Linked DNA regions of Saccharomyces cerevisiae S288C. The protein of the gene in region 2 binds, or shares a complex with, the protein of the main gene of each other region. Each region holds a gene or a part of one and is shown on either strand. Other genes may lie near its edges. A codon is read from its position in the direction of its gene.

The links.
Region 1: the proteins of DPB3 (region 2) and POL2 are in contact, whole or in part, in a cryo-EM structure (PDB 6WJV), measured with the Saccharomyces cerevisiae proteins. Residues at the interface, in NP_009837.1 of Saccharomyces cerevisiae: Cys23 (codon at 8,074), Pro25 (codon at 8,080), Glu26 (codon at 8,083), Val33 (codon at 8,104), Leu44 (codon at 8,137), Gln47 (codon at 8,146), Asn48 (codon at 8,149), Glu51 (codon at 8,158), Val55 (codon at 8,170), Leu56 (codon at 8,173), Gln58 (codon at 8,179), Leu59 (codon at 8,182), Glu79 (codon at 8,242), Lys80 (codon at 8,245), Arg81 (codon at 8,248), Asp82 (codon at 8,251), Asn83 (codon at 8,254), Arg85 (codon at 8,260), Phe86 (codon at 8,263), Glu88 (codon at 8,269), Asp89 (codon at 8,272), Ala90 (codon at 8,275); in NP_014137.1 of Saccharomyces cerevisiae: Asp302 (codon at 7,860), Ala304 (codon at 7,854), Val305 (codon at 7,851), Asn389 (codon at 7,599), Lys392 (codon at 7,590), Ile393 (codon at 7,587), Asp1080 (codon at 5,526), Lys1083 (codon at 5,517), Asp1084 (codon at 5,514), Val1270 (codon at 4,956), Trp1272 (codon at 4,950), Leu1273 (codon at 4,947), Gln1276 (codon at 4,938), Lys1277 (codon at 4,935), Lys1279 (codon at 4,929), Trp1280 (codon at 4,926), Gln1283 (codon at 4,917), Arg1287 (codon at 4,905), Arg1290 (codon at 4,896), Arg1301 (codon at 4,863), Glu1302 (codon at 4,860), Ser1304 (codon at 4,854), Ala1305 (codon at 4,851), Gly1307 (codon at 4,845), Ser1308 (codon at 4,842), Met1309 (codon at 4,839), Glu1582 (codon at 4,020).
Region 3: the proteins of DPB3 (region 2) and DPB4 are in contact, whole or in part, in a cryo-EM structure (PDB 6WJV), measured with the Saccharomyces cerevisiae proteins. Residues at the interface, in NP_009837.1 of Saccharomyces cerevisiae: Ala9 (codon at 8,032), Pro10 (codon at 8,035), Phe12 (codon at 8,041), Lys16 (codon at 8,053), Ile20 (codon at 8,065), Cys23 (codon at 8,074), Asp24 (codon at 8,077), Glu26 (codon at 8,083), Tyr27 (codon at 8,086), Val28 (codon at 8,089), Ile29 (codon at 8,092), Thr30 (codon at 8,095), Ser31 (codon at 8,098), Val33 (codon at 8,104), Ala34 (codon at 8,107), Ser36 (codon at 8,113), Ala37 (codon at 8,116), Thr38 (codon at 8,119), Phe40 (codon at 8,125), Ala41 (codon at 8,128), Ala42 (codon at 8,131), Glu43 (codon at 8,134), Leu44 (codon at 8,137), Phe45 (codon at 8,140), Val46 (codon at 8,143), Gln47 (codon at 8,146), Asn48 (codon at 8,149), Leu49 (codon at 8,152), Val50 (codon at 8,155), Glu51 (codon at 8,158); in NP_010406.3 of Saccharomyces cerevisiae: Asn25 (codon at 3,911), Thr37 (codon at 3,875), Ile38 (codon at 3,872), Leu41 (codon at 3,863), Ala42 (codon at 3,860), Arg43 (codon at 3,857), Glu44 (codon at 3,854), Ser49 (codon at 3,839), Gly50 (codon at 3,836), Lys51 (codon at 3,833), Leu54 (codon at 3,824), Ile55 (codon at 3,821), Asn56 (codon at 3,818), Asp58 (codon at 3,812), Ala59 (codon at 3,809), Ala62 (codon at 3,800), Leu63 (codon at 3,797), Arg65 (codon at 3,791), Gly66 (codon at 3,788), Ala67 (codon at 3,785), Val69 (codon at 3,779), Phe70 (codon at 3,776), Val71 (codon at 3,773), Asn72 (codon at 3,770), His73 (codon at 3,767), Leu74 (codon at 3,764), Leu75 (codon at 3,761), Arg79 (codon at 3,749), Lys88 (codon at 3,722), Ser89 (codon at 3,719).

What each region holds. Positions count from the first base shown.
Region 1 is NC_001146.8:143,428-156,974, reverse strand, and holds POL2 (DNA polymerase epsilon catalytic subunit), read right to left. Parts: upstream 8,764-13,547; coding exon 2,095-8,763; downstream 1-2,094. Other genes in the region: ribosome biosynthesis protein LTO1, read left to right, coding at 1-116; ORC5 (origin recognition complex subunit 5), read right to left, coding at 436-1,875; protein transporter YIF1, read left to right, coding at 9,135-10,079; PDR17 (phosphatidylinositol transporter), read left to right, coding at 10,360-11,412; IST1 (Ist1p), read left to right, coding at 11,694-11,720, 11,826-12,695; PIK1 (1-phosphatidylinositol 4-kinase), read right to left, coding at 12,897-13,547. UniProt on the Saccharomyces cerevisiae protein: Catalytic component of the DNA polymerase epsilon complex which participates in chromosomal DNA replication.
Region 2 is NC_001134.8:752,287-761,399, forward strand, and holds DPB3 (DNA polymerase epsilon noncatalytic subunit), read left to right. Parts: upstream 1-8,007; coding exon 8,008-8,613; downstream 8,614-9,113. Other genes in the region: DNA-binding protein RIF1, read right to left, coding at 1-4,820; tyrosine/serine/threonine protein phosphatase PPS1, read right to left, coding at 5,334-7,757; PAF1 (Paf1p), read left to right, coding at 8,971-9,113. UniProt on the Saccharomyces cerevisiae protein: As accessory component of the DNA polymerase epsilon (DNA polymerase II) participates in chromosomal DNA replication.
Region 3 is NC_001136.10:688,531-697,567, reverse strand, and holds DPB4 (DNA polymerase epsilon noncatalytic subunit), read right to left. Parts: upstream 3,984-9,037; coding exon 3,393-3,983; downstream 1-3,392. Other genes in the region: serine/threonine protein kinase KIN1, read right to left, coding at 1-2,868; TRM1 (tRNA (guanine26-N2)-dimethyltransferase), read left to right, coding at 4,307-6,019; COX26 (Cox26p), read right to left, coding at 6,354-6,554; VBA4 (Vba4p), read right to left, coding at 7,035-9,037. UniProt on the Saccharomyces cerevisiae protein: As accessory component of the DNA polymerase epsilon (DNA polymerase II) participates in chromosomal DNA replication.

The DNA.
Region 1 (13,547 bases), on a different chromosome or scaffold from region 2:
CATTTGAAGTCTTTGAAGACGTTTCAAGGGCCATTGCCGGAGAAATTAGAGGTTTTGTAGAAAATGAAGACATCGCAAAGAATAAGACAAAACAAAATCAGGCTCAATCCTGGTAAGAATACCAAGTGAAGAACATTATCGCCGGCCGCCAAAAAGAGCAACTAAACTAACAATTTTGCGCCGTTCAGTCTCCTCATTCATTGTTTTTCCATACAGTAGGGCGCTTTTAATAGTTTCTAGTGGACTGAATTAATAACGGTTATACGTATTAATCTTTGATTACCATATCCAAGAAACAGAGCGTAGAGCGTGGGAACAAAAAATACAAGGTTTACTTGATAATTGTTCATTCTATCCCACTATGTATAAATATTTATATAACGTAGTTGTTGTTTCGAACGTATCCTGCCCTCTGGATACCTTCCAGGGAGATAATCATTCGTGAATATCGCTGAAGTAATCGCTGATATTGAAATGAACAGATTCTGATATTTCTTTAATAATTTCCCAGGGAACGTTTACTTTCCACCTGACTTTAGGACTCAAATAGTCGATATTCTTGTTCATGGTTGTAGCTATTAATTTCAATGTATGCAATTCGGATAAATTTTGAAAAACCTCGATATTCGCTTTCATTAAGGATTCCTCACGAAGTGCAGATAGGGAACCACTCTCCGCCTTACCTTGAATAGGGAATATAGCTTGGAAAATAGCCAAAAGTCTTTCAATAGCAAATAAAGAAGGCTGTAAATATCTAGGGTTAACTTCTTTCTTCTTTCTTCGTCCATAAGCAGCTCTACCTTGTATGATACGTGTTTTCCTAGAGAAAATACTCGCATCGTATCTAGGTTCCAGATATGAACAAATATATGAGGCTATGAGCAGATACTTCGAAATTATTGATAAGTCGTAAGTTTGACTGTTCTCAAGGTCATCACGATTTGTGGTTATCGCGCTTTCACCTTGTCCATTTTCACTTAAATTATCATCTGTGCTTAAAAATAGTTTGATGGCACTTTTGTAAAGAGCCAGTGGTTCAAATATGTTTTCCTTAGTAATGCGAGATACATACTTGGGCCATTTGAAGTCTATCAAGTCATTCAATGCGAATATGTCGTTTCCAGTATAAGAATGAAAAGCCTGCACAATTAAGTGAATGAAGTTCGCAGCTACATTTTGAAATTGATCGTCTGTACAGTCCGTTATCTGCTCTTCAATGATACGCTTACGTAGACAAGAATCTTCCATGAGTTCGCCACATCTAGACATCACTAATATAGTAGAAACTTCGTCCACATTATACCTCGGAAACATAACAGTTGGAATGCAATGTGTAGAATATCTTTGCAAAAATGATGTCTCTAACATCGTGTAAATGAATTTTATATTAATTTTAGAATCTTTTGGAAGTAATTCATTTAGTTTGATATATTTGTTAAACAGTGCGGCGTCTAAATCTTGTAAACTATCGAAACCATCCAATATCAAGAACAAGCAAGTCTTTTCTTGCAAAGATTCATATTGGACAAAAATATTGTGCAACGTCTTTACCAAAAGAAATGGCTCTTCAACCTGTAAAGGATCGTAATCTGTGGTGGGAATGTTTGGATATAGGGTTTTCAATTTATATTGTACAGTACGTGCTATCGCCTGCAGTAAGGGCTTCCAAGAAACCAACTCAACAGGTTCCAGCCATACTGCATGCAAATTTGGATTCGCATTAAAATACTTCTTCAAAGTGTAGGTTTTTCCTGTTCCACTATAACCTTGCAAGATTAAATTTGAAGGAGTTATGTCTGGATCAGCAGAAATATACGATGCGAGACAGTTGGTTTGATATTCCCTAAAAGCAACTTCCGGAGTGGTCACATTCATTTTATTTCCAAAAGTATTAAGAAGAAAATAAAAGAAAAGTACTTGTGATTTAAATATCAAAGAAGAGTGTTAATTATGTTCAAGGGCTAATTTTTCGGTTATTTATATTTATATGTTCAGAAACGAATTGAAAATACTCTTTTTCCTTACCTTTTTTTTTTTTTTTTTTTTTTTTTCATGGTAAAGAGGCCATTGAACCTCGCGTTATATACTGCTTACTCATATGGTCAAATCAGCAATACAACTCAATAATATATCAAAACCGTAATACTTGGCTACTTGCTTAAACACATTTAACTTTTGAACAATGCTTTCTCTGGGGAGAGTTCCTTCCCACGCGCCGGCACATGGACAGTGGGCACTCATATAGTCACGTTTCACTTTATGACATCTGGAGCATCTCAAATCTTGAATTAAATAGGATTCGATATCAGAACGTAGTTTTTGAATCAGGTGTTCTTGCAACAATACTTGATTAAAGGCTTTGTGACATCTGACGCATGAAAAAATAGATTCAGGAGCTGCCTTACAAAAGTCAATATCAGAAATGAAAAAACAGTATTCACATAAAAAATCCGGCACCACGAGACTCAAACTTGGATCTTTGAATTCCGCTACTTTAGCAAACTCACGCAATTCAAATATCTTCAGCAGTTCTTTTCTCAGGGTCCTGATTTCTAAAATTGTACTCTTTGAAAGTAACATGACATGGCAGAGTGATTTGACAAGTTCTAGAAGGGGATTTTTCACATTCAGATGGGAACCAGGAAGAACAGGAATAACATAGTCTGCCTCATACTGAGGATCTAAAATGAACTCTTGCTGGTTTTTAAAAAGCTTTTTGACTCTTTTCATTAGTGGTTTGGAAAAAAGGTGAGAAAATCCGTTCAACGAGTTTTCAACACTATCTTCCTTATCTTGTTTTTTTACATTAACTATTTGGGTAGGTCTTTGCGTCCCTGAATTCAATTTTAGATAGCTCTGCTTTGTCTTTAGCATACTATCCAATATGATCATCATCCAATCCTCAAATTCGGGCTGATATATTGGTGACAGAAACTTCTTTAGTTGCCATTGCGAAACAGCGGTATAATCCTGATTTTCCTTTTCCTCTATTTCAATACATGCTAATCCACTAAAATTAAACTTATCCATCCATATTAGCAGATCCCAATAACGTTTGATATTTAAGTCCAGATAACTAAACATTGGATTTGTTCTAACTGCCTTCATCATATATTGGCTGTAGGCGTAACAGTTTTCAGGTGAGTACTTGTTTGTCTTTATTAGAATTTGATTCCTGTCTGCATATACAATAGTTGAGCCAAGTGCACTAAATTCATTTACTAATTGAAGTAAGGCTTTTTTTGTTAAGTTATGAACGTGATATCTTAGTAATCCGTCGAATAGTTTCGCATTCGGGTTTTGAACCCAACTTGCCAGGGAATTTACCAACAAATCTGCGGTTGAATTTTCTTTTAGGGCCTCATCCCACCACTCCTTTAACATACCTCTTAAAACATTCAAAGCGTCATTAGAAAAGGCGTCGTGCACGAATTCAGATGGCGAGTTAATAACGGCATCTTTGTCATCTATACCCATATTATTGTTAACTAGATCACTGCCTTCAGCATCATTGATTAATGCTGATGTCAAAATTGTGTTCACTGTTAAATTATCAACACCAACATCGAGAACTACATTGTCATACACACCTGAGTTATTAATTTTGGGAAATTCTGAATCATTCATTATCCATGATGTATTTAAATCAAAATCATTTTGAATGCCTCCATGATCTGGAAGTGGAGCTTTCTCATTCCACCAAAGCACGATGTTCTCTTTTTTTAGTTTTCTTGCATAAAGAACATCAATAATATAATCCATACTATCCAGCCTCAAATTACAGATTGGAATGTTACTATACTGGGATAACTTGATCAAGTGAGAAATCCACGAACCACTGGATAAAACGTGGTTAACAAGTTTCTTCAATAATGTCGGTTGCCAGTTCAATTGGGGTAGAAGAACTTCATTCAAGGAAAGCTTAACAATGGGCATCTGGTTTAGAAGCCGGATTGTGCCTAAGAGCTTAGTGATAAACGGAGATTGTAACAAGAGTAAAAACTGCAGACCTCTTTCTTCTTTTAATTTAGTAGTTTCCTGTGATAGTCTTCTGTACAATTTTGAGATATCTGTAAAATATACAAACTCAAAATTGATATCTTCTTTAATATCAACCAAGTAAGAATATGTTTCTATTTTACCTTTCTTTTTTTCAAACATTTGTTTGTATATTTGTCCTAATGATGAGGCATTTATTTCCTGAGCCTGGTTGGATGGTTTCAAAACTAATATAGTAATAGTATCTCCCCATGACTTGAATAATGAAAAAAATTCATACCCAATTGATGTTGGGAAATGTAGTAAATAGCCAATGTCCATTGAAAATCCACTCAGATACCTTTCATTTTCCGCCATTGAAAGATCCTTCATTTCAAAACCCTGCTGTATTCCCTTGCCTAACGCACCCATTGCTTTTGAGCGGAACGTTACCGAAGCTCCCAAATCCATGATCGCTCTTTGATGAGGAGTGATAGTGCCCTCAAATACACCAAGTACATTTTCATCGTTGAAGATACTAGTGCAGTTTTCCTTTTCTTCCAGAAAGACAGATTCCGGTAGAGTAATTTTGAATAGCTGACCGCCTGCTGGATTAGACGTTTTGGGATTATTTGGTAACGATGCAGAAGATTTTTCAATAAGGCAATTCTTAATCTTTTGTAGCGGCATTGTTTGAGATTTGAATTTCATATAAATAGTTTTTGGTATATGGAAGGTGATGTTCTGGACTTTGCCATTAATTGTTACAAATACTTCCAAAACCCCTGGCTCACCGGAATCCTTGTATTGTAAGACCTCCCAAGTGGAGTTCGCATATGATTCAGCTTGCTTCCTAATCATACTTCCTAGTGCACTTCTTTCACGGGAGCTGTTTGTATTACCAAATAATTGGTCTCGACGCTTTCTATCTCTTGCTTGGATTTTCCATTTAATTTTTTGATAATTTAGCCACCCAACATAGTCCTCGTCCATGGAAGGAATCTCCGAGGGCAATACTAGTGGATCTTCTTCATTTGTAAGCTGATTTCTTTTCCTCTTGGATACGGCTTTCTTTTTAGTAGTTCTTGCAATTTTAATTTTGGCGTTATCTTCTTCTACAGTTGGTTCAAACAAATCCTCGATATCTTTTATCTTGCCCATTGTTGGTACATTCTTTGTCTTCGAAAAAAATTTGGTTAGTGAAGTCTGCTTAAACTTATCCTCCTTTGTAGCGATTTTTCTTTTTAGCCAATCTGGATGTTCAACCCTTGGAACAGGATTGGAAACCCCTTGTAATGCTGCTGGAATAGTAATTATCTTTTGTATAGCAGATCCAAGTCTTTCTCTATAATAACCCCAATCGATTATGGTTCTGATATCCAGATCTTCCAAAGATGGATCTAATGTCCATCGCCTCAGAAAAGACCTTTTGATGGGAATGTCCGCTGAAAATATTGCGACTGGAATGGCTCGTTCAGTAACAGGTGCATTGAAAGGTTTTGAACTAATAATATATTTACATTGTAGACCTTTATCTTTTACCATATCTTCACCCAAAAAATCCCCCAATCTCCTTGCCGTCGTAATAGAAGTAGATTTTTGCCCTTCATATTCCTTTAAAGTTTTTGACATACTTCTATTTTCACAAATCAAACTGACCAAGTCTTCATCTTCTAACATAAGACCATGTGAATCAAGAACATCTAACCAACGGTTACATACGCTTGCTACAGCACTGTAACATCCTTCTAATGTATCACCTTCCAAAAAGACCTTGAAAATATCACTTTGAAAATTTTTTATTAGTTGTAATTCACCACGCCTCTTCAATTCAAAACCTTTCAGTTCAGCAAGTGAGCCGTCTTCATTGAAGACAGCATATCTTTTCTTTATACCTTTTCCTTCTTCCTTGGAACTAGGCAAAATCATGGCCTTATATGGTCCGTCAACTTCGAAAAAAATCGTGTTTTCACTGTGCGTCTCATATATATAGTTCAATGGGTCTTTTAATTCTTGGTATTGGTGATTCGTAAACTTTTGGTGAACTCTGTAATTCAGCATGGAACATGGGTAGGAGAGATAAAGCTTTTTACCATTTTCTAATGTAAAAAAGTAAGTTTCAGGGAAAGATTTTGGTAAGATACACCAAATACCATCAGTATCTAATTCTAATGGTCTTCCTACCCTTTCTACTAAAGCTCTCGCCATTTGAATGATCGTGGCACCTGTTAAACACGTAATCCCCGCCATTTCCATGGAATACCAACGAGAGCCTTTCCTCATAACATACCCATAAAACGAATTCAAAATAACTTTGTGAGCTAATTGTAATGAGTCATAAAGCACAATCATCTTTTTGGCCTCGTCTCTCGCATGCTTATCAGATGGGTCAATTTTGGACAGATTTCCCTTCCAAGTCTTGGCTAAACCTTTGAATTCGTAACGCCTATCACGAAAGGATTTCACGGTATCGACGTAGAATGGATTTTCTCTTTGGCAGACAATGGCTTCTCGTTCGACAATTTCTGATACTTTAACCCTATGATAAACTTTCCTTGAATATTCAGTTAAACGTTTTTTTATGTGGATAACTTGGTCTGCGTAACTTAGTTCATCAAATGTCAAAACTTTCTTTTTAGAAAACTTGTTTTTGTTGGGAAAAGTCTCATTTTGTAATGCACGCTTGATCATGTTATACTCATCCATCTTACTGGGAAAGAATTCTCCTCTCCAAGCCCATTTTAACTTTCTTGCACAGGTTTTTCCGGGTCTATTAAAATCGCAACTAGCACAATCGCGCTCTGCTTTGATACTATCTGGTTGTAGTCTATTTGTAGTCATGATGTTTGGGTACATAGAGGCGACATCTACATGATAGATCAAAGGTAGTTCGTTTCTTATATTGTTTTCCTTCAACTCTAATAATTTCTGCGTTATCTGGTTTTTTATTTCCTCAAAATTCGTTACTTTATCTACACTGGACTTATTTTCAACTTCCACACTAAATTTCAAAGCTTCTGGTAATTCTTGTAATAATTCATCAATGGCAGAAGGATCTATCTTGAATTCATTCTTCAAATCACTCCTAAAAACACCAGCTTCTAATGACTCCACATGTCCACCCACGTAAGTCTCGGATTCTAGAAGATGTCCATCATAGAACCTCTCAATGGGATCTGTATGCTTATTTGGTAGAAGAATATTATGTTGATAAGCTTGAACCATCAACAACATTTCACACAAAGTACCGGTACCCTTTCTCAATGTTTCATCCGGGTTCAAAGGAATAATAGTACAAAGGGAAAAGATAAAAGGATGAACATATTTCATGTAAAGGTAATACGTAGCGACTGCATCGGAAACAGAATATTCGGAAAGGTGCTGTGGCTTTTCAAATGCATACGGCGTCATTAATTCGGGATCCAGTTCAATTGGGTTATAACCTAGCTTAGATTGAGTAACAGCTTTTAAACCCTGGGAACCTTGTGGTAAATAAGAATCACGCTTCACCCAACGGAAACAATCCATGTGAGAGCAGTATGAGGACTTGTACTCACCTTCAGCATCTGGAGCGAAACCAATTTCATCGAACATGTCCAAGCCGTGAATCTTACTTCTGTTATGTATAAAAGGCCAATCGAAAAAGTCACCATTGAAGGTGGATATAACAGTGGGTCGTACATCTCTTATATGTTCAAAAAACCTTTGTAGAAGCGCCACTTCATCGTTTTCGTTAAATATGGTGAAAAAACCAGGATACTCCGGTTTCGGTGTATACTCAAAGTCTTCAATATCCTCAGAGATTATCTCCCTATTTGTTATCAAAAAACCTTCCCCATCGATCATATACGAAATCATCATTATTTGATCTACGGCGGAATCCGGGAATTTTAAAGGCGGCTTCGTGGTTTCTATATCAAATGCCATTACCACAGGGTCGGCAAATGCAATTTTCCTAGTATCTTCAATGAATCCCTGTTGAGTTACCTTATACCATTTACCGACTCTAATGTCCTTGTCTATAGATACTCGGACATGATACGGCACATCATATTCCCTGATATCTTCGATCAGATGTTTGGCGTCAACTTTTTCCGAGCCATTTGCAGCAACGTTATATATATTTCTTTGCACATTATTATTGGCATTATCCTGCAAGATTGGCCTCAGGAGTTTCCTGGCCTCGAATAACTGATTGGAATTTACAAATGATAACTTAATAAGTGTCTTCTGCAGCCCTAAAAGGTGATTGTCCATGGTAAGATCTTCCTTTCTAATGATTTGTAAGCTTTTGAGACAAGATTCCAGATATTTTTTCACTAGTTCCTCCACATCATTTACTCTTGATTCATCGTTACACGCAATAAAGAAGTATGGGTCATAGACAACTGTCGACTTGAAGCTCCCACCCTCTTCATCTAAAAAGTAGAAGTCAACTCCGGAAATACCTTGGTTGGTCGTTACACGTTCTCCGTCATTCGAATTGCCGCCGCCATTACTACCACTGGATAAGGTTTCCTGAGAGACCAGCGTTGCGTGCATGTTCGTCAGCCACCCTACGCGGCCTGGAATCTGATCTATATCCTTCGCATCAAACCTGCCATTGTATTGCGGCGGTACGTATCTTTCAAATCCCATCATCGAATCGATGTCATCGATCTTACTAGCATTTAAGAGCTGTTGCGCGCTAAGCGCATAATTATTTGAGAGTGTGTTGTACTTGTTGCCAGCTGAATATCTTGCAGTGGAAGATCCTCCGTTGTTTTTTTTCTTGCCAAACATCATATACTTGTCCCCTGAGAGTGTTATCTTGATAGAATGTGCTCTTTCATCATCATATGCTCTTTTTGATAGGTCCTCTTCCAGTTAAAATGGTAAAAGATGCAAGAAACTTACGCGTTCTGGTTACCCTACCTGAAAATAAACCATTCTGACAATTCAAATGACAATAAACTTGGGCCTTTGACGAACACTGACAGTGTTACTATTACTTTTTCTCAGTGCTAAAACAGCATATCCGAGACTCTGTATCAAGATCCATATTGCACACCAGAGCTGTTGTTTTATACTACAACTCATCTTTTTGACTTTTCGATTGTAAGACCTCGCTACTGAGTATCAATAGCAGAAAACGAAAACCAAAGGCCCATACCAAGATGTCTTATAATCCGTACGCATATGCAACAAGTGAGCAGAATGGCGTTAACGATCGCTTTTCCCACACTCCACAACAGCAACGACCAATGCAAATTCCGAGGAACACGCCCGTGAATGGCCAAGGTAATGCGAATATGAATGCAAACGTAAATGGCAGTGGCGGTGGTTTTCCATTCCAAGATCCTCGTGGTTCGATGGCATTCCAACTAGGGCAGAGCGCATTTTCTAATTTTATTGGTCAGGATAACTTTAACCAGTTTCAAGAAACGGTCAATAAAGCCACTGCAAACGCTGCCGGCTCTCAACAAATTTCAACGTATTTTCAAGTCAGCACCCGTTATGTCATCAATAAATTGAAACTCATCCTAGTTCCTTTTCTTAACGGAACCAAGAACTGGCAACGAATTATGGACTCTGGCAACTTTTTGCCACCAAGGGATGACGTGAACTCCCCAGACATGTACATGCCTATTATGGGACTAGTTACCTATATTCTCATCTGGAATACGCAGCAAGGTCTGAAGGGTTCATTCAACCCCGAAGACTTGTACTACAAACTGTCTTCTACTCTGGCGTTTGTGTGTTTAGATTTGTTGATTTTGAAGCTTGGCTTGTATCTTTTGATCGATTCTAAGATTCCAAGCTTCAGTTTGGTCGAACTGTTGTGCTATGTCGGCTACAAATTTGTTCCATTGATTCTCGCCCAGCTTTTGACCAACGTGACCATGCCATTTAACCTGAATATTTTGATAAAATTTTACTTATTTATTGCCTTTGGCGTATTCCTACTAAGATCCGTCAAGTTCAATTTACTAAGCCGCTCCGGTGCTGAAGACGATGATATACACGTTTCCATCAGCAAATCGACCGTCAAGAAGTGCAATTACTTCCTATTCGTCTATGGCTTCATTTGGCAAAATGTTCTAATGTGGTTAATGGGTTGATCTTGATTGAAGAGATCAAAGAGAGGATTTAATTTCATGCGCATTATTATTATCTACGGTCAATTTGTTAAATACTTATATACTTTTATTCCTACGTCATAAATTTTCTATTTACTTTTCTTATTTTTCCTTTCACTCAATATGGAGTGGAAAGAGAACAATAGAGGGATTAAAATTCGTGGGAAAAATCACGCTTTTTAGATAGATTTAATTTACATCATTGTTTAAAAAAAAAGACCCTGAAAAATCACACAAAGAAAGCACAAGAAGAAGAACAAAAATGGGTCTTTTTTCAAGAAAACGGGACCATACGCCTGCTGTGCCTAAAGAGAAACTTATTCCATGTGATAAGATATTCTTGGACCCTCCTGCCAAGTATGGTAACGCACCTCTACTGGAACCCATCTCCGAAGATCAAAACGAAAAATATAGAGCTGTCTTACGACATTTTCAAGATGATGATCTGAAATTACCAGAAAATCTCAATGACCTTGACAATGGGACACATGCCAATGACAGACCCTTGAGTGATTGGGAGAAGTTTTGGCTTTCTAGGGAGTGTTTTCTAAGATACCTAAGAGCCAATAAATGGAACACCGCGAACGCCATAAAAGGTCTCACCAAAACCTTGGTATGGAGGAGAGAAATTGGACTTACACATGGTAAGGAGGACAAAGACCCTTTAACAGCTGACAAAGTTGCCGTTGAGAACGAAACTGGTAAACAGGTTATTTTGGGCTTTGACAACGCTAAAAGACCTCTATACTACATGAAAAATGGTCGTCAAAACACAGAATCTTCCTTTAGACAAGTCCAAGAATTAGTCTACATGATGGAAACTGCGACAACTGTAGCTCCCCAAGGTGTAGAAAAGATCACAGTCTTGGTAGATTTCAAAAGTTATAAAGAACCTGGTATTATCACTGATAAAGCTCCACCCATCTCTATTGCTAGGATGTGTTTGAACGTCATGCAAGATCATTACCCTGAAAGGTTAGCTAAGTGTGTCCTGATCAATATCCCATGGTTTGCGTGGGCTTTTTTGAAGATGATGTATCCGTTCCTTGACCCTGCCACTAAGGCGAAGGCTATCTTTGACGAACCATTTGAAAACCACATAGAGCCATCTCAACTAGATGCTCTATACAATGGTCTGTTAGACTTCAAGTATAAACATGAAGTCTATTGGCCAGATATGGTTAAGAAAGTTGACGATTTACGATTGAAACGTTTTGATAGATTTTTAAAGTTTGGAGGCATTGTCGGATTAAGTGAATATGACACCAAGGGCCAACATGACGAATTAAAATATCCTGTTGATATGGTCATTTGATAAACTATAATTAAGATTTTTTTTTTTAACGTTTCCCGCTACACAAACGTATATATCTAGACTCAGATGTACGTTTATAATGGCTGCTTATGCGCTTATCGCATTTTATATACTTTTAGAATCAACTGAATCGGCTATCCGCACTCTATTGTTTTGTTTCATGAAAAAAAAAACGCCTTCTGAATTCCAAAGGGTGTGAAAATTATATATACTATTAGTTCCAGCTAATCAATCAGAACTAGTCAACATAGAAGATAGATAAGAGAATACGACAACTAAAAATGGCTCCGTCAATGATTCCGTTCACTGTATGTTTATATTTTATAGTAATTTTTAAAAAGCTTTAGTATGCAAAAGATCTAGGATGTACTAACTGAAGAAGGGTAAAACTATCATCCAAATTATTGTTATAGATCAAGCTTAAAACATGCCTGAAAATGTGTATTCAAAGGTTAAGATATGCTCAAGAAAAGCAACAGGCGATTGCAAAGCAGTCTCGAAGACAGGTTGCACAACTGTTACTGACAAATAAAGAACAGAAGGCGCATTATCGTGTGGAGACGCTAATTCATGACGATATTCATATTGAGCTACTAGAGATATTGGAACTATATTGTGAATTACTACTGGCTAGAGTGCAGGTAATAAACGATATCTCCACCGAGGAACAGCTTGTCAAAGAGCATATGGATGATGGTATTAACGAAGCTATCAGATCCCTAATCTATGCGATTCTTTTCGTTGATGAAGTCAAAGAACTTAGCCAATTGAAAGATTTGATGGCCTGGAAAATAAACGTTGAGTTTGTTAATGGAGTAATAGCAGATCATATCGATGTCCCTGAAAAGATTATAAAAAAATGCTCTCCCTCAGTTCCAAAAGAAGAACTAGTTGATCTTTATTTGAAGGAAATCGCGAAAACATACGATGTGCCATATAGTAAGCTGGAGAATTCCTTATCTTCGTCGTCTTCTAACATTTCTTCAGACTTTAGTGACCCCTCGGGAGATATCGAGGATAATGACGAAGAAAAGCCTATTTTAGCCTTAGATAATGACGATAATGACAATGCAGATGCTAAACACCCTATCACTGTTAAAAAGCCTAGGCAGAATAGTGAAAATATCAAGAACGAGCTCAAGATTCCGAAAGATATCAAAAAGGAAGTGATCGAAAAGAAACAATCAGAAAAGAAAACTACAAAAAGAAAGACTAAGAAGGAGCAAGAAAATGATGAACTAGATGAGTTGAAGAAACGGTTTGACGCTTTACGCAGAAAATAAGATAATAATTTATATGTATGGTTAATTAACCACATATTTATTTTACTCTCATTCTTTTACCTTGCTTTTTCTGAGTCAGCTGCTCTATTATTCTCGGCAATAAATAAATATATGTATATTCCTTTTACTAAAATTCCAATTTTTTTGTTCTCCGGACATTTGCAAATTGTTTTTCCAGTTCTGTCACAGCTATTTTCCTTCTCAGCTATATATACCCTGTGTAATAAGTTGAAATTGGTCGTATATTCTGGTGTAAATACTACCCAAAGATTTACCTATCAAGAAATTTTCTACGAAGTCATCAACTTCTTTTTCTGATAAGTCCAATTGGAACCTTTGTCGTAGTTGTACACTTGTTTGTTCGCCAGCATCGAAACAAGGCTGCATATTGTCCTTTTGCATAATCTCACACATTGATACGATTTGATCAGCATACTTTCTCAGAGCCTTGAACGAACTTTTAGTTAGTTCAACAAACTTTTTAAACGCTTCTCCCTCTACTCCGCCTAGCAGTTCAATATATTCGTAAGTTAATTTGAATGGTGCGGCCTCAAAGCCCACTGAGCCGGGTGAATTTGATAGCATAAATCCAAAATCGATGTGACTTACATGGCCTTCGTTATCGATCATAATGTTACCGTTGTGTCTATCTTTAACCTGCAAGAGATAGCAAATGACAGAATATGCGGCTAACGAAGAAGCAAAGTTGTCTTGTGCTCTTCTATACTTAAATCCATTAGGATTACCAAAAGCTCTAAGGAAGTGATCATTCAAAGAGGCAATACCACCCTTGTCATCTAGTTCTGCATCTTCAATCATTTTTTTGGTTAAAGCCTTTTTAATACTATGCAC
Region 2 (9,113 bases):
ACCTCATTCCTTACTGGAGAGGCTTGTTCAACATTACAAGCATAATCGTTGTTTTCACCCTCATTATTAGGACGGGCTTTCTTCACGCTCTTGTACTGTGCAATATTGTCTTGCGTAAAACTTTTACTGTTGATTTTATTCATACTTTCCTGGTTCTCCTGTCTTTGAACATGTTCAACTTGCCCTTTTCCATCTTCCTTTGTTATGGTTTGCTGGTCAAGATCTAAAGTGACATTCAAGGAATTTTCATTACAGTTTGTTTCCACTTTTATGCTATTCCTTAAAGCTAACGAAGATTCTTCGTTGGCTATACTCTTGATGTTAGTACATATAACGTCACTGCTAGGCGACACCGCTTGTTCCTCAGAAACTAAAACGTCCACCATCGTTTCATGACCTTTCGATCTTTTATTTTCAGAGGTAGGCGTCTCTTTGGAAGGTCGTTTTAGAGGATTATCACTGTTAACAACGTTATGATCAGGATTCGTTTTGATAGATCTATTTGTTACCGCCTTCAGTTCGCTAGTGAGAACTTCTATCGGTTGGTATGCGTTCACTTCCGAGGATTGTGTATCAATACTTTCATGCAGCTCAGTAACATCCACCTCATCGCTTTTAGTAGAACAAATGTTGCTATGATTGGCCACGTTTTTATCTAACTGCGTACTCTTCATCTGCTGATCTATTTCTCTAATGCTTTCATTATCCACTTCCTCTAGTGTTTCATCATCAATTGATCTGCTTCGGTTAGCATGTGATTCTTGCTGTGAAGAATTCATTATTGCAGTATTTTTAAGCGATATTGAATCTGAATCTTTCGCACTAATCTGGGAAGATATTTGAATTGAGGAGGGAGGCTCTTTCATTCCCTGCGTAGCCGGAACCTGGATATCTTGAGAATCCACTTTTCTCTGTAAGTTTGAAAGTTTATTTTCACTCCCTTCGCATGGAATATACATCGACTTAGTGTCAGGTATAGCTTCAATTTCCTTACTTGAGTCCCCTTGATGAACCACGCCCGATTCCTGTATCCACTTTCCTATTGTCTTTAATGTTGCATTATAGGTTCTCTTATCTTTAAACTTACGATTATGTGATTTGATGAGGTCAATCAACAGATTAACCATATCAATAGTTTGATAGTTAGGGTTTGGCGGTAATATACTAATTAACATGGAAAAAAATTTTTTGGCGGCACTTCTAGAAAGCGGTTTAGTGAGATATAATAAGACTAATTCACGGAGCATATTTGTACTCTTTTTGTGTTTTTGCATATTAGAGCTAACTGGATTTAAGAAGAAAACTAAAAGTGGCTCCTTTAATTTTTCCAAAATTTGGATCTCTTTTTGTATAATAATCTTTTCAAGCAACTCCAATATATAATCATCATCTCCATTTTCAATTTTTTCAATAACTGCTGCCAGTAACTTCCCATTAGGCTTCTCCTTATACGTCAGTAATTTTAACAGTAGCTCTGGACTTATTTTGAAAAGAACTTCGCTGGTCATATTTCCGCAAAATTCATCCAAATGATCCGCCATATTATTCTTTATGCAAAAATTCAATAGGCCACTGAATAATGGTTCAATGGGATTTGCCATCGCCAGATGAAGGAGTTCTCTGATTATTTCTGATTTTTCTAACTCGCTATCAGACGCATTTTGTAAAACGTTCTCGATTTCTGAAAAATTTTGATTTAGCTGTTCAAGTTGTTGACCCTTCAACAGCCAACGAACTAATGTAAGCTGTTCGGAGCACTTGAATAGTTTTATGTTTGCTGCAAAATATGAAGCTCTGCTACGTGGTAACAGCTTCAATAGGAGATCTGAATTTAGATCAGGGATGGAATTTAGTAAATTTGGATTGGAATGAATACAGTACTCCAAAATATCCATAAATTTGTTACGCCTTAAAAATGGGAGCAGACCGGAAAACAGTTCAGGATTCCCTGGTAAAGAAGTTTTTAACAGCGTGATCAGATCCACGTTTAATTTGTTTTCATTTTTTGAAACATAGCTTTGAATGAAATAAATAAAATTATTGTTCGACCACATAGACACATGAAGTAGTGTAAACAAATTAACTGGAAAGCTGAGCTTCAAACATAGGTCCAAGAAATTTTCAATGGAATTTTCATTCGGAACTTTGTTCACAATATTCGCCAAACTCTGAAATTCTCTGAAAGATATATTTGGTGGTAATAACGTTGATCCAACCCAATTTTGGGCATATACTTCTGTTTTCTTATCATCCAATTCTAGAAACTTTTCTATTATCAGAAATTCAGATGTTTCGTTTCGAGCTTTCCTGATAACATCTTTTAAAAGATCAAGGGTCATGTTTCCTTGCGAAATACCAACTTTGGAAATTTGGATATTGAAATTTACTAATGATGAATCATTCTTTCTTAAAAACAGGTCCAAAAATGTATAAACAAACGATGAAGTAACAGCACCAAAAAAGTCACGAAAAATGGGTGTATCTTTGTTGTTTTGCGTGACTTTTAATATAAGACTGCTAAAGGATTCTAAATGAGTTTGGTCCTTTCTATCCTCTGGAAGATGCTTCAAAGATGTAAGGATCAGATCATGAGCCAAATTAACGTTAGAAATGGCTACTTCAACAGCCTGGAACACAACTTTCATGATTTTATCGTATTCACGCTTGATGATCTGCGGGGGCAGGCTTGAAATGTCTTTTAACTTTACACCTTCTGAGGCTATAACACTCATTGGGTGAATATGCTTTTTATATTTTCTTTCCAATGCAACATCTGCATTCTTTCCCCCAATTAACAAATGCAAAACTGTGAAGAGTACATTTTGCAAGTGAATCGAATCATATTTGAAAACATAATCTTCATAAATCGGGGTTATTAGGTGGTCCCAAAATAGTTCAAACATATCTGTTGACAAATTCTTATTACTTGTAAATGCAGTGTAAACAACACCTAAAAGGTGGTAGATGATCCCTTCTCTAGCGCTTGGATCATTCACATAAGGAAGCGTCATTTGAAAAGGGGTTCGTAAAAGTGACAGTAAACTTTTGTTTCCTTCCTGATTTTTCTGTGATATTTTCGTGCATATGCAGTAGGTAATAATTCTCCAAACTTTGATGGACATTAAGCGAGTCTTGGGGTGATTATTGATAAAGCACAGGTTATTTAAATCAAACCAAACTTTGTTAGATTCTGATGTCAAATCATAAACTCTCTTTCCGCTATCGTATAGTAATCCGGTCATTGAAAGCCACAAATCCATTGCTATTTTATTGTCATTTTTGACCACAATATAGTTTTTTATCTGCTGTGTAAGAAGATGACCAATTGTCACTTTATCTAAATTAGCGCTGTCATATGAATTTAACGGTAGTTTAGATAAAAATTTTTCCGGGATTGTTTCGCATACTGGAGATAGCATGATACACTGGTAAATCCTTTCATGTTCATCAACAAAATCTAAGCATTTTTTTAGTAGTTCCAGTAAAACAACTATTGAAGTTATGAGAATTTTCATGGAGTAAATTTCATCTCCGATAATAATCCTAGGTAGTACCTCACCTGGTAACCAAGAAGTTACCGTCTCAATCATTAATTTTGGATACTTGCTCAAAAATCCCCTTATAAGTAGCAATTTTTCATATATTAGGTTGTGACTATTGATTTCCATTATTTCAGTGAAAGTGCTAATGATAGGTTTAATTTCTTCGTTGCTCAAGAAAAAAGTACCAAATTTTTCGTCTCTCAAGAAAGAGACTTGTGCTGTTATGATTATCTTGTTTGAATTTTCATTTCTTAGCGCACCGGTGGTCCACCTGTAAATAACTTTTAACTTATTAACCAAATCTGGCCTTTTCGTTAGCCACTTAACGATTTTGAAATTAGACATAATAGCACTGAAGAATCGAACTATTTGAACATATAGTCTGATTACAAATGGATTTTTTTTTTCACTACTACTTAATAATGTGTCCTGTGCTATTTGTAGATGCGGTATGCATATTTCAATGATACTTTCTATATTCACAATTAGAATATTGAATTTCTGATCAACCTCGTTAACATTTTTAGTGGTTAGAATGGGTATAATATTATTAAAGGTTGCGTATACCTCAAACCTCCTCGCGACGTAATCTTCAGATTCTTGTCGCAAGATGCCCAATCCGCCCTCAATAATTTCTTTAAACTCCGAAACACTTTCATTATCAACTAAACCATGGATCTCACCACTCACCCAATACTCTAAGGCGCGAGGATTTACCCTTGTTTCCTTATAAGGTGATGTGAAAATATTACCGTTGTGTAATTTGTGTTGGGTATATTGGAGTTTATTGTAACTCAAGTCGCTTACAGTCCTCACTGAAGGCAACCTATTCCTCAAAATTGATTTTCCTGGTTTGCTTGATGGAGAGGGTTTAGGTGAGGAACCTGGTATGCGGTAAATCGGTGATGATTCTATCCTATCAGAAAAAGCTACACTTTTTGTAACCGGTGATACATTATCACTATTAGAGGCAGACAACTCTGGAAGACTTTGCATTAGCCTGCTTCCTGTATCTTCTGGATATAAATTCTTGTTAATAGCTGATAAATCAAATTGTTTATTCTCGCAATCACTTGAAGACGCTAGCTTTCGCCTCTTTGGCGTTGGCGATAGATCGCTTTGTATATGCATATGAGCTTGTGGAGATGGAGGTGGCAAGTTAGTTTTCATCCACGGAGAGCTTCCATTGGAATAATTATCGTGTTGAGACCTACGGAGGATATGCTGATCAATTCGATCTATCGTATGTTTCTTTTTATCTGAAAAATCTTTCGACATTGCAAATTGACCACAAAAACGATTTTGCAATGGCAATCCTGTAATAACGTTGACGAATATATATATATATATTCACTTTTATCTCCTTAGGTACTGATGCCGACGAATTGCCTCAAATCGCTCTAAGACTGCGTTATTACTTTCGATCTTCTTGCTAACGATGAGTCGCCAATAAATAAAAAATCGACGCGTCGGTCAATTATAGTAACTTCTATTATTGTAGTAAATATGACATAAGAGGAAAAACACAAAGAACTGAAAATCAAAATGGCACTAATCACCTGCCTTCTGTTGACTTCTTGTTTCTTATCAAAAGTAGAGTATATTCACGATGTAAATCTAAGATAGCTGTCCTTACTATATAAATATTTGCTGCGGCCCTTTTTTAACGATTTGTAAAGGATTACAGCAGTTCGTTATACTTGGCTGATAGCGTTAATTTTGCATACTTTTCTTATAATTGGTAATTTTCCTACGTATTATACAGTTGTACGTATACTTATATAACAAAGTTCATGTGTACTTCATATTAACCTCAGCGATACCCCTACAGATGATGTGCCAATCCATAGTTTTGTCTTTTTCGCGATTATAATGCTTTTTCCACCATTTGAAGAGCTCATATACGAAGAACAAGTTTGGTTGAATGATAACATTAAGCCTCCGTACCCTCACAAACAAATACGCACTTGCCAGGTCACACTGGAGATATCTCATACATTCAGCTATACAAACTGTTGCAGATCTGGAGACTCCGACCATACAATGCACCAGAACTTTCCCTCCTGTTGCTTCGGAATTGCTAATAAAATCCAAAACTTTGTCTATTTGGTGGAAAAGCGGATCTTTGCCGTTGTCATCTAGATTTTCGATCTGGCAAATTTGAAATCCAGAATTTTCACTTATTACTACGTTGCTGCCATTTTCTTGCTTATCGCTGACCACAGTATCAGCTCTATTTCTGCTTTTATTACATGTAGTATTACCTGCAACTTCATTGGTATTCGTCATAGTTATTGCACGATGTGGCCTTACAGGATGAGCAATTTTATCCTTATTCAATGTCCATGAAACAACTTCACCGACAGAAACTATATGCGTAATTCCTAGAGACTTAAGTAAGGCAGGATTTTGTGCATGATCCAGGGATCCCAAATACAAGTGACGTAGAATCCGGGATGGCAGTGGGCCCTTCAAATTAACGAAATTAGACTCAAGAGGAATCTTCATAAAAAATATGCTACTAAAAAGCTCTGAAGAAATGTGTAATTGAAAGCTTTTATCCCTAAATTTCAATGCATTGGCATATAATTTTAGATTACTTCCATTCTGCGGACTAAACTCCCGCAGGACAGGTTGTAAATGGCCTAAAATTTGCAAGTCTGATGGAAAAAGGAAAAATGGTCTTGGATGGATCCTCAAAAGAGCGTCTTGTAACGGAATATTAAAGTGGAATATAATATAAGCTGTTAATAATAATGACGTTTCTGTATATCCGTCTTCGCAATACATGAACGTCAATAATTCTTGAACTTGGGATACTTGAAATATTAAATAACAAACATTCAAAAGAATTTCCACAGACTGAATGTTTAAGTTCCCCAAACCTATACTACCTGAGGCAGGGAAAGTCAAATGCAAATGCTCTTGTGATTTTGACGCATCATCGTCTAATAAAAGATCTAGATATGTTCGGATTTTCGTTAACGACGGCATTTGCGAGTTTGACGTACATTTTATGATCAATTTCCACACCTCTTTTGTATTCGGTATGTTATACAGTTGAGAAATGGAGGTTGTCGGATTGTCCGTATCATAATTTAGAGACTTTAAATTTACTATGCTTGTATTCTCTTCGAAACGGTGGGTCAGAGATATATTGTTTTTTTTAATTATTTGATAATTATGCCAATCAGTGGTGTTACCGCAAATCAACCCTGTTTCCTCCAATCGTGTAGCTGAAGTCAGCTTATTCAACTCTAACTTCTCGCACAAAACCATATTCTTATCAACGTTATTGAAACACACTATTTCACTAGGTGACGAACATAAATTCAAGGGAGTATTATTCTTGAAAAATTCGTTGTCTAATAAAGGTGTACCAATCAAAGTTTGAGGTATATCTGTATTGAAATTCTGATAAGTGCAAATAAAAAGATTCGTCTTGTAAAGCGATCCTCCACTCCCTACATAACCCTTTTGAACAAACATTAAACAGATCTGTAAAAGTAGTGCAAGGGTTGTACAATTGGGGCAATTTCCCTCGTGTGAGCACGCTGGCGCTGATTCTGTTTGCATATCAGTGCTGCCACCAGTCCGCGAACAATAAATTACTATATTATCAACCATTTCTATCATCTTGGCACATTGCAGGTCGAACCTTCGGAATAGACCTCTCCTTCCCCAGACGTCCTGCCCACTCCGTTTTAGCGTGGTATTAGACCCAACCTTGTTTCTAGAATACCTTTTAAGTTCTAATGATAGTCCACGAGGATCTACTTTCAGAAATGGTAAAATGCTATGATTGTGACAATAAGTAGCAGCGTTTTCCAAAGCAACATCATCCACTTGCAATTCCAATTGTCGTATCTGAAACTTTAGCAAGTTCAAAAGTTCCTTTGTGTTATTGGGATATTGAAAACCATTAGAATCATTTCCAGTTTCACAGGTATCGCCCTCTCTATGAAAGGAAGTGCGAACTTTCCAGGACTGGAAGATATCATTCACTTCGAGAGAATTACGCAAAAGCGCAGAATTGTTAGCATCTGATTGCGATTTGACTATTGCAAGAGAATGAGGAAAATCGGGTGGTTGACCAAAGGAAATATCATGAGCCCAGGGGAACATTTTTTTACATTCAGGCCATTCTGCATCCTGATGTAGTCGCATAAGATCATGCAGTTCACCAGGTGTGATTGAGGGCACTTCCAAAACCATGGTTGTTGCTCTAGTTTTCTATACCCGCCCCTTCTACCTCAATGACAATCTCTCTTTTATGGTTGGTGTTTCTTTTCACTTTTTTACTTCTTCTTGTACTTTTCTTTTTGAACCTTAAAAACTCTTGCAATTATGTTTCCATGATGCTTTTGAAGTAATAATTTATTTTTATTACGCGAAATTAATGGCCTTAACAACTGCCTGCCCCAACAGATAAAAACAAGCAAGGGTCAACCGTGTTGCAAAAAAAATGTCCAACTTAGTTAAAGAAAAAGCACCTGTCTTTCCTATATCTAAAGTAAAGAAGATTGCCAAATGCGACCCCGAATACGTAATTACATCTAATGTAGCTATATCAGCGACCGCATTCGCTGCTGAGTTATTTGTACAGAATCTCGTCGAAGAATCGCTGGTCTTAGCACAACTGAATTCGAAAGGAAAGACAAGCCTACGATTAAGCCTAAATTCTATAGAAGAATGTGTCGAAAAAAGAGATAATTTCAGGTTTCTAGAGGATGCCATTAAACAACTGAAGAAGAATAGCGCACTCGACAAGAAGAGAGAACTAAACATGCAACCGGGTCGGAGCGATCAAGAGGTTGTTATAGAAGAGCCTGAATTGCATGAGGATGATGGTGTAGAGGAAGAAGAAGAAGAAGACGAGGTATCCGAAGAAGAAGAGCCCGTACACAATGAAGAACTTCTTGATGATAGTAAAGATCAACAAAATGATAAATCCACGCGCAGTGTGGCAAGCTTGCTGTCGAGATTCCAGTATAAATCCGCACTAGACGTAGGAGAACACTCCGACTCTTCTGATATCGAAGTTGACCATACGAAAAGCACCGATCCTTAGTGTTGTTGCTATTATTGCTATGTAATTACTATTCGATGCAATATGTTATACATATACATACACGCAATGAGAACCCTAACCTTGAACTTACTATTTTAAAAGGACATCTCGAAAAAGCTTAGGGATAATTAATATTTTGTAGGTTAGAGCTGTTATGTAGGGAAGAAAAACAAGGGCTTTAAAATAATAATCACATTACACGAATAACTTAATTTGTCTTTCTGAAATGGAAAAAGAAAAAAATGACGACTGTAACATTGGATGAATTAATACTGTCATTATTGATACGTTGTTAATTATAGACAGAAATGTATTCAGTACAATAGAACAGTGCTCATAATAGTATAAAGGGTCACAATGTCCAAAAAACAGGAATATATTGCACCAATAAAATACCAAAACAGCTTGCCTGTGCCACAATTACCTCCTAAACTTCTGGTTTACCCCGAGTCTCCGGAGACGAATGCAGACTCCTCCCAACTAATCAATTCACTATACAT
Region 3 (9,037 bases), on a different chromosome or scaffold from region 2:
CGAAAGTGGCATGATCGATCTTGGAGTCCCTTCTCTCTTCGCTGCCACATTATTGGAAGAGAACCTTTGCATACAAACAAAACCACCCTTAACCTCCTTGAACTCTATATTCATTTTCCTCAGAACAAACATAATCTTGTATCTAACAATTGGCAAAGGCTTCGATGAAGTTGTCTGAACAGAAAAGAAACCCTTCAAAAATAAAGAACGGGGGAAATCGATGGATGGCATAGAACCGGCTGGAGCTCTAGAAGCTTCCTGCAATATCTCTTCATCTGTTAATTCCTTCTCCACAGATGGCGAGTTTATGTGTGCGTTCACAGAATGCACGCTGACGCTATCATTCGTCTGTGAAGTAACATTTCCCAAACTATCGGATTTGTTATCGTCACTTGATTCTAAGAACCCAGTATCTATAAGCTCTTGCTGAGGATAGGCAGATGAAGGCATTGGGGGTCTCATATATTTGAGTGATTCACGACGAGCATGACCAACTGATTTAGCTCTTGCGCTTGGATGTAGTTTTCGACCTTTTGCAACATTGAGAGGTGGTAAGGGATGATTCTCGTCGTCGTCGCTTCCTTCAAACTTCTGTGCAGCGTAAGCTTCCCGCCCGCTTCCTTTTGCAACTTCATTATTCTGTTTATTAATATCATGCAATTTCATTATATCTTCTTCAATTTGCTTCTCCCTTTGCTTCTCTACCATATTTTCTGCATCCGCAGGCAATGCTGGAAAGTCACCTTTATTGCCACCTCTGCTATCGTTTGTCTTGACAGGCTCATTCATGGTATAATTTGAATCATAACTCGGTTTAGCAAAACCAGGGACAAAGTCTGAAACAGCGCGAGAATGCGTCTTTTGCACAGGTTTATTGATACTATTATTACTATTAACAGATGTCTGTTCAATGGTCTTTTTACGGCGCTGTGATAATTTTCTAAATATATTCCCAAACTTCGCCTTTTCTGAGGGATCGCCAGTAGTTGAAGGTACCCTAAATTGTTGATAGTCATTTCCCTGAGGAGTTGGAGAGAGAGCATATTCCATTTCACGGCGTTGATTATCAGAACTTTTTCTACTCGTTGGTGACGTATGCGCTTGTTCTGGCATTGCTAACCTCGGTGGAATTAAGACATGTAAGGGGGGCTCTGTGCCATCGCTATTCTTTGGAGTGAATGGCACAGAGGTATCTTTTGTCGCCAACGTGGCTTCTGGCTCTGATTTCATAGCGGTTGTATTGACCTCTACGTCCCTTTGCTTCACACTTTCCGGTATTTCAGAAAGCTTTTCTATATTTTCGTGGCTCTGTCGCTGTTGTTGATTCCGAATTTTCGCATGTTTCCTATCAAGCATCTCAGAAGTCAAGTAATATATGGAAATCATTGGATGATATGCCCGAGTTGGGTCTTCAAAACTCTCTGTTATGTTTGGCGCGTTTCCGTTATCACTGGATTCTGCGTTCATTTTGGCCGCTAAAGTCCAGTATTGTCTAGAGAGAAGAACGTAAGTAGGATCTGTGATTATACTGACCAAAACACTTCTTGTTTCCTCTACATCGTCAATAAATTCTAAACGGTACATTTCTTTTAAGACATTTATATCAAGCATTTCGATAGTTAGGGGAACTCTTTTCGGTAAGTAAGAAGGAGGGGGACCATTGAACCCTCTTACCATCCAGTGGTGCTCCACAACCTGTTTAAGTGTGGCTCTTCTTTTCGGATCTACTACCAACATTTTGGATAACAGTGATATTACTTCGATAGATAAATGTTGGGGATATTCAACCTTACCTTGCTTGATCTTTTCATGTAAAACGCTCGAATTTTCGTCGTCAAATGGCACTTTACCGCATACCAAAACAAATAAAACTACACCAAATGACCAGACATCTACTTCAGGTCCTGTATAAGGATTCGCTTTTAACAGCTCGGGAGCGGCAAAATACAGAGAGCCACAGAATGTATGAAGCTGCTTCCTAGAATCATAAATATTTGAAAGTCCAAAATCAATTATCTTGATTTCACTGGAATCTGAAATCATTATATTTTCTATCTTCAAATCTCTATGGACGATGTTGTTAGCATGCAAATATATTAAGGCGCTCGCGATACCCCTAGCAAACTTTCTCGCTTGGTGTTCTCGTATTGACCCATGTTGGATGATATAGTCTAACAGCTGACCACCTGAAACATATTCAAACAACATATAGAAATGATTTGACAACGTGCACATCTCAAAAAGTCTACATATGTGTGGATGATATAAGATTTGTCCCAAGGACGCTTCTCGAATAGTTCTTTTGTCCCTAGATATTTCCTTCTCTAATTTCTTCTGTCTCTCCAAAACATCTTGTTCATTTTTGGGTGGTGGCAGCATTTGTTCTTTATGTAGGAAAGCCTTTGTAGCACGGTTTACAATTTTTACTGCACAAACCTCATTAGTGTAACGATGTTTTGCCAGCTTCACTTTACCCATAGAACCTGCACCAACTGTTTCAACAAACTCCCAATCTCCTAACGATTTTCGATGAAACTGCTTAGGCATGCCCTGAGAAGACGAAACTCGACTCTGGCTGGTAGTATTTGGCTTTGGTGCATTCTCTCTCGATTTACCTTCAAGTTCTACTTGTCTCTCCTTTTGCTCTGCTTGATGTGAGTTACCATTATTGGCGTATTTGATATCCGCCGGGGGCATTAGCGGTGTGTTCTGCTGCTGCTGCTGCTGTGGACTTTTTCCCATCATTCTCAGCGTAGCGGGCGCCATAGTGCTTGGTTGTGTATGCATGCTGTTGCTTTCACTATTGCCATCATCCTGCTGGTTACCTCTGCCCATTGAGAAGGCAGTATTTACGTGATAATCATCCATATTCTACGTGAGCAAAAAGTAATCGTAATAAACTGTACCTGTTTAAAAGAAGTTGAAAAAAAAAATGCGTAATAGCCCAAAATCCCTAGTATATTCAGTTGCTCTAATCGGAGCAAAGATGTTTGAATTTTACTAATCAATAGTTGGAAAATGAAAGACCGATAGGGTAGGGGGGCGAAGGGTGACAACTAATTATGTTAACTAGCCTAGGTTACCGTATGTCCTTATAATAACGAAGTAAATCTCAAAAAATTTCAAATCACAAAGTGGCTCTAACTAAACCTGCTTGATATCGTATCTCGCTAATACACTTCCTCAACGCCATAATTTCTTGTTAACGTTCCACCAATATCAACTTCTTGTCCCCTTTCTTTCCTTCCGCATTGGCGCCGCGTTGGGTTCCCCGGCTTGCAAATAACGACGATGAGTATAGCTTATTATGTATGTAGGTAATAAAGGCAAGTTACATACTACGATCCTGTGGGAGTGGTGGCAAGCACTACTAGACAGTTTCCATAGCGGGGTTACGTTTGCTCAAGGTTTTGAACTCTAGTTTCTACATCTTGGCTCTCCGTTTTCTGTTTCTTTTCGGAGGACTCTTCTACGTCCTGTAATGCATCGCCTTGTTCTTCTATTTCGTCATGCTCTTTAACCTTTTCCACGGGCACATTCTCCTTATCTTCACCCATATCTATATCGCCATCAGCATCTACTTCACCACTATCTAGTTTTTCCTTCTTCCTCTGTTCAACAGCAGCTTGGTATTCATCTAGTTTATCTCTAACCGGACCCTTCAATGCCGAGTGTCCTATATGGTCCAAAGCACTCAGAACATCATCTACACTGCAGCTTTTTTTATCTTGACTCTTTGCAATTTCCCTTGCAAACAGGAGCAAGTGGTTAACAAATACTGTAGCACCACGCTGTAACGCTAGTGATGCGTCTTTATTTATCAGCAGCTTTTTGCCGCTTTGCTGTGGCACTTCGCGTGCCAAATTCACAATAGTGCTTTTAGGAAATAACAGGTCCTGAATCGTAATGTTCTCTTGTTCTTTAATATACGAAGTAGTGGGGTAATTCCCTTGGGCGTCTTTTCTCCAACCTTTTGGTGGCATCGTGTGTAAAAATATATGGTCTGATATAAATAAGCAATGAAAGGCTTGACTTCTATTTCAAAGTATTAAATAATTAAAAAAATCCTTCCTTTCACCTAAAACCTCTAGGTAATATTCTGTGGCTTCTGCTATTGTGCCGCTATGAATAACAATTTTAAGCTCTGATGATCGAATCTGGTTTTTAACGTTATTCCAATTTGAGCCTTTCTTTATTCGTCCAAAGGGATAAAGCATTATTTTTTTTTCATCGCATTCAATGCTCATCGCAAAGTTACAGATCCTGAGCAGTCATAAGTTGATACCTTTCCTCTTACAATGTAGATATGGAAGGTTTCTTCAGGATACCCCTCAAGCGGGCAAATTTACACGGAATGTTGAAGGCTGCTATATCCAAAATTAAAGCGAATTTTACCGCGTATGGTGCACCAAGAATCAATATTGAGGATTTCAATATAGTCAAGGAAGGAAAAGCAGAAATTCTTTTCCCTAAAAAGGAAACTGTTTTCTATAATCCCATCCAACAATTTAATAGAGATCTAAGTGTTACATGCATCAAGGCGTGGGACAACCTATATGGTGAGGAATGTGGCCAAAAGAGAAATAATAAAAAAAGTAAGAAGAAAAGGTGCGCGGAAACTAACGATGATTCTTCCAAGCGTCAAAAAATGGGAAACGGGTCACCAAAAGAAGCCGTTGGTAATTCTAATCGAAACGAACCTTATATAAATATTTTGGAAGCATTGTCAGCCACTGGGTTAAGAGCCATTAGGTATGCTCATGAAATTCCCCATGTGAGGGAAGTTATTGCTAACGATTTACTTCCAGAGGCTGTCGAATCTATAAAACGAAACGTTGAATATAATAGTGTCGAAAACATTGTCAAGCCAAACCTTGATGATGCTAATGTCTTAATGTACCGTAACAAAGCGACGAATAATAAGTTTCACGTCATCGACTTGGATCCTTACGGTACCGTTACACCTTTTGTAGATGCGGCTATTCAGAGTATTGAGGAGGGTGGTCTAATGCTGGTAACTTGCACTGATTTATCCGTTTTGGCCGGTAACGGATACCCAGAAAAGTGTTTTGCCTTATATGGTGGTGCAAATATGGTTTCTCATGAATCAACTCACGAAAGTGCGCTGAGACTAGTATTGAACTTACTAAAGCAAACTGCCGCGAAATACAAGAAAACTGTGGAACCGCTTTTGTCGTTGAGCATTGACTTTTACGTCAGAGTTTTTGTCAAAGTCAAAACAAGCCCGATTGAAGTCAAAAACGTTATGTCAAGTACTATGACTACTTACCATTGTTCCCGTTGCGGCTCTTACCACAATCAACCTCTGGGCAGAATTTCTCAACGCGAAGGTAGGAACAACAAAACATTCACCAAATACTCGGTTGCGCAAGGGCCTCCGGTTGATACTAAATGTAAGTTCTGCGAGGGGACATACCATTTAGCTGGTCCAATGTATGCAGGACCTCTACACAACAAGGAGTTCATCGAGGAGGTGTTGAGAATTAATAAAGAAGAGCATCGTGACCAGGATGATACATATGGAACACGTAAAAGAATTGAAGGTATGCTATCTCTAGCTAAGAATGAATTATCCGATTCGCCATTCTATTTCAGTCCTAACCATATTGCATCGGTAATAAAATTACAAGTACCTCCCTTGAAAAAAGTAGTCGCAGGCCTAGGTTCCCTAGGCTTTGAATGTTCATTGACACATGCCCAACCATCGTCCCTAAAGACTAACGCTCCATGGGATGCAATCTGGTATGTGATGCAGAAATGTGATGATGAGAAGAAAGACTTAAGCAAAATGAATCCAAATACTACGGGCTATAAGATTTTATCGGCAATGCCAGGATGGTTGAGTGGCACTGTCAAATCAGAGTATGACTCAAAGCTGTCGTTCGCACCAAATGAACAAAGCGGTAATATTGAAAAACTAAGGAAGCTAAAAATTGTGAGATATCAGGAAAATCCAACAAAGAATTGGGGCCCAAAAGCCCGTCCCAACACTTCATAAGAATTTTGATTAGTGTTAGAGCTAAAACGTAAGAAACTAAGGATCCGCCCGAGAACGGTATAATGGACGGAAAAGAATGCTTCTCTTTTGTAATATAGATGTTTAAAGTAATCAGGAGGGCAGTATGTATGTGTAAAAAATAAATAAATATATATATATATTTGAGGAACCAGATCTCAAATGAAAAATATAAGCCAGTATATTTTTTGCATTGTAGCCACTGTTGTAACCTCTGGGCATATAAATAATAATGTATAGCGCCTAGTATCAAACTAAACTCGCCATGTTGGTAGTGTTACACTCATTTTTAGCAAATTTTTTTTTCTTATCAAACTCATGCTTTTCTTGCCTTACTAAAGAAGTATACAGCACCAGGCCAACCTAAACAAACGCTCAATACTGCACTCCATTGAAAGATTTCTGGAATGAGCCTTCTACCTTCCGTAATTACCCACGATTCACCTATTCTACCGCCTGTATACCTCTTGATTGGGGCAGCACGAGCGGAAGATCTCAAAACTTGGCTGAAGAACATTTTACCTATTTAGAATTAAAAGAGTCTGTAAATATCTGTGATATGGTCAAGTGTCTAAAAAGTACAGACAAGGAAACGAAATAAAAAAAGAATTGTTTCGTCATGCAAGAGGAAAGTATGAAAGAAAAATGACTGGCTTATATATTAAGTGTCATTTAGTCGGAGAAAACACTATCATAAACAAAACCATGTTTTCTTTGGTTGCCTACTGATAGAGGGGTTTCCGCTTGCTGCATTTTCAGCAAGTAAAAATCAAGCTATTCTGGCCATTCATTTCTTGCACGGATACCATATCCCCTTGTTCACTCTTCTATTCTTCCCCCGCCCCATACGATCATTTTTCAGATCCCGCCTTTGTGCGGTCACCACAATGATTGAAGTTCCCTGCATCTTTATCTAAGCGACAAAAGTATTATCGGGTTTAAGAAAAAAGAAAAAAAGTATTTGTATTATTTAAAGTATACATTTTCATCTACCGGTTCAAGATAGTGACAAACAATTTTGACTACGACAATGGATTCTGTTGAAAATGAATATTGCTACGACAGTAATCGTAAAAAAAAGGGTAGAGAGTTTGAATACGTTTCGACATGCTTGTAAATAACACTCAATCAAAGTTTGAAAAACAAACTTTGGGGCTGATTCGTGTACCCAATCTGAAGATTCCGTAGCGTGCTTGATAATTTTCAAAAGGTCCTTTTTAAGATAACCTTGCTTGCTAAATGGCATCACCTTCTCATGCATAAGTTTTATTAATGTTTTGTGGAAGACATAACCACCCAAGGAAATACCAACCGTCCCCCCCACGGCACCGAAACAATATACGATAGAACCACTGATAGGTGACTTTCTTTGTTCATGGTACTCATGATAAAGATTTGACAGCAAGGTCAATATCATAGAGGAGCCCAAAAATGGCAGAGACAAACATATATATTGCTTCCATACTGGTAAATTCAAACTTACCCCCATAAGTGCCACATATAGTAACAGGGTGGCTCCGCTTAAAACAAATTTTAGCAAAAAATTCTGTCCTTTCGACTTCCAAAAATAAGAAACACTAAAGTAACCCAGTACAATGGAGAAAAAGAATGGGGACAATCTCTCTGCAAGTTGTAAAGTGCTTAAATTTAAAACAATGATGAAGTACGTTGTACCGAATGGGATGATGCACATTAATGCTGCAAAGCAAAATGAAATTCCTATCATTGTCCATATTAAACGCTTGTCACCTTGTAAGGACATTGAAATTACAGAGTTCATGTAAGTATCGCTTGTCTCTATCAAGAAAAATAAAATGCCACAAACGATAATTACAGAAAATAGTAGCGCTTGAATCATCGTATTATTCTTTAACCCTGTTAAATCCAATGAGGTCACTTGAACGAAACAAAGTAGGAATAGCGTAAGTGTCAATATTTCGTATAAATCAGGACTTAATAGAGTATTCTTGAATCTTTTCCATAATGTAGGCGTTGGGCGTCCATATAAAGTGCTCTTAACAGAATACATATCTGCCAGCATAATCGAGGCATTCACAAGGCAAAAAGGAACTGGTATTAAGAAGGCATTTCTCCACCCGCTACCATGAGAAGAATCAAACAAGTTCATCATAAAGGGCCCAATTACCACACCCATAGCAAATGTTATCATAGAGGCACTCAATGAGTACCGACTGTCGTTCTTTTGAGAAAACCGATTCATAATAGTACTTTTGAGCGCTATTAAGGAACCGCCCCCAAATCCTGTGACACAACGGGCAAAGATAAACGTCCAAAAATGGGCAGAACTCCAAGATAAATAGCCACCAAGGATAAAACTGAATTGAGCAATACACAACAACAATTTTACACTGGATATTAAAGATAGCTTCAAAAATACCAGTTGCCCAATAGCATTACTCAATAGGTATGCTGAGATGACTAAGGATAATCTCCATAACTCATGAAACTCCGAAGCAATTTTGGACGCAATTACTAGGATTATAGAACTGTCCATTGCAATAAAGAATAAATAAGTACACATACAGGATGAAAATATCCGTCTTCTCGTCAGATCATGTACAAGTTCATCAGATGATGTATTTTCGACATAAGGAGGATTCAATCCGTTCTCTACATCCCCGATGCTCTGGGGTATAGAGCCATATCCATATGAAGTGATTTCATCTCCGCTGACTGGTACTTCAGGAGATGGTGCAACAATGTGCAAAGATTTACTACTTGACGTCTGGTTATCTGCCTGCACTACAGGCATATCATCAGCTCTTTCAAACGAATTTGAGGAAGATACTGGTAGCTCGTGCTCACTCATCGGAGTATTGCAGCTGGTAATACTTTGCAATGGTGATACTGATCTATCACTAAAATCTGTAATAGAGCTTTGCAAAGCTGAATTTCCACATGCTTCATGTTGTGAAGGCGGCTTAAGATCGTCTTCATTAGCCTTGTCCGCAGGTTTTCCTTTAATGCTATTGACCTCAT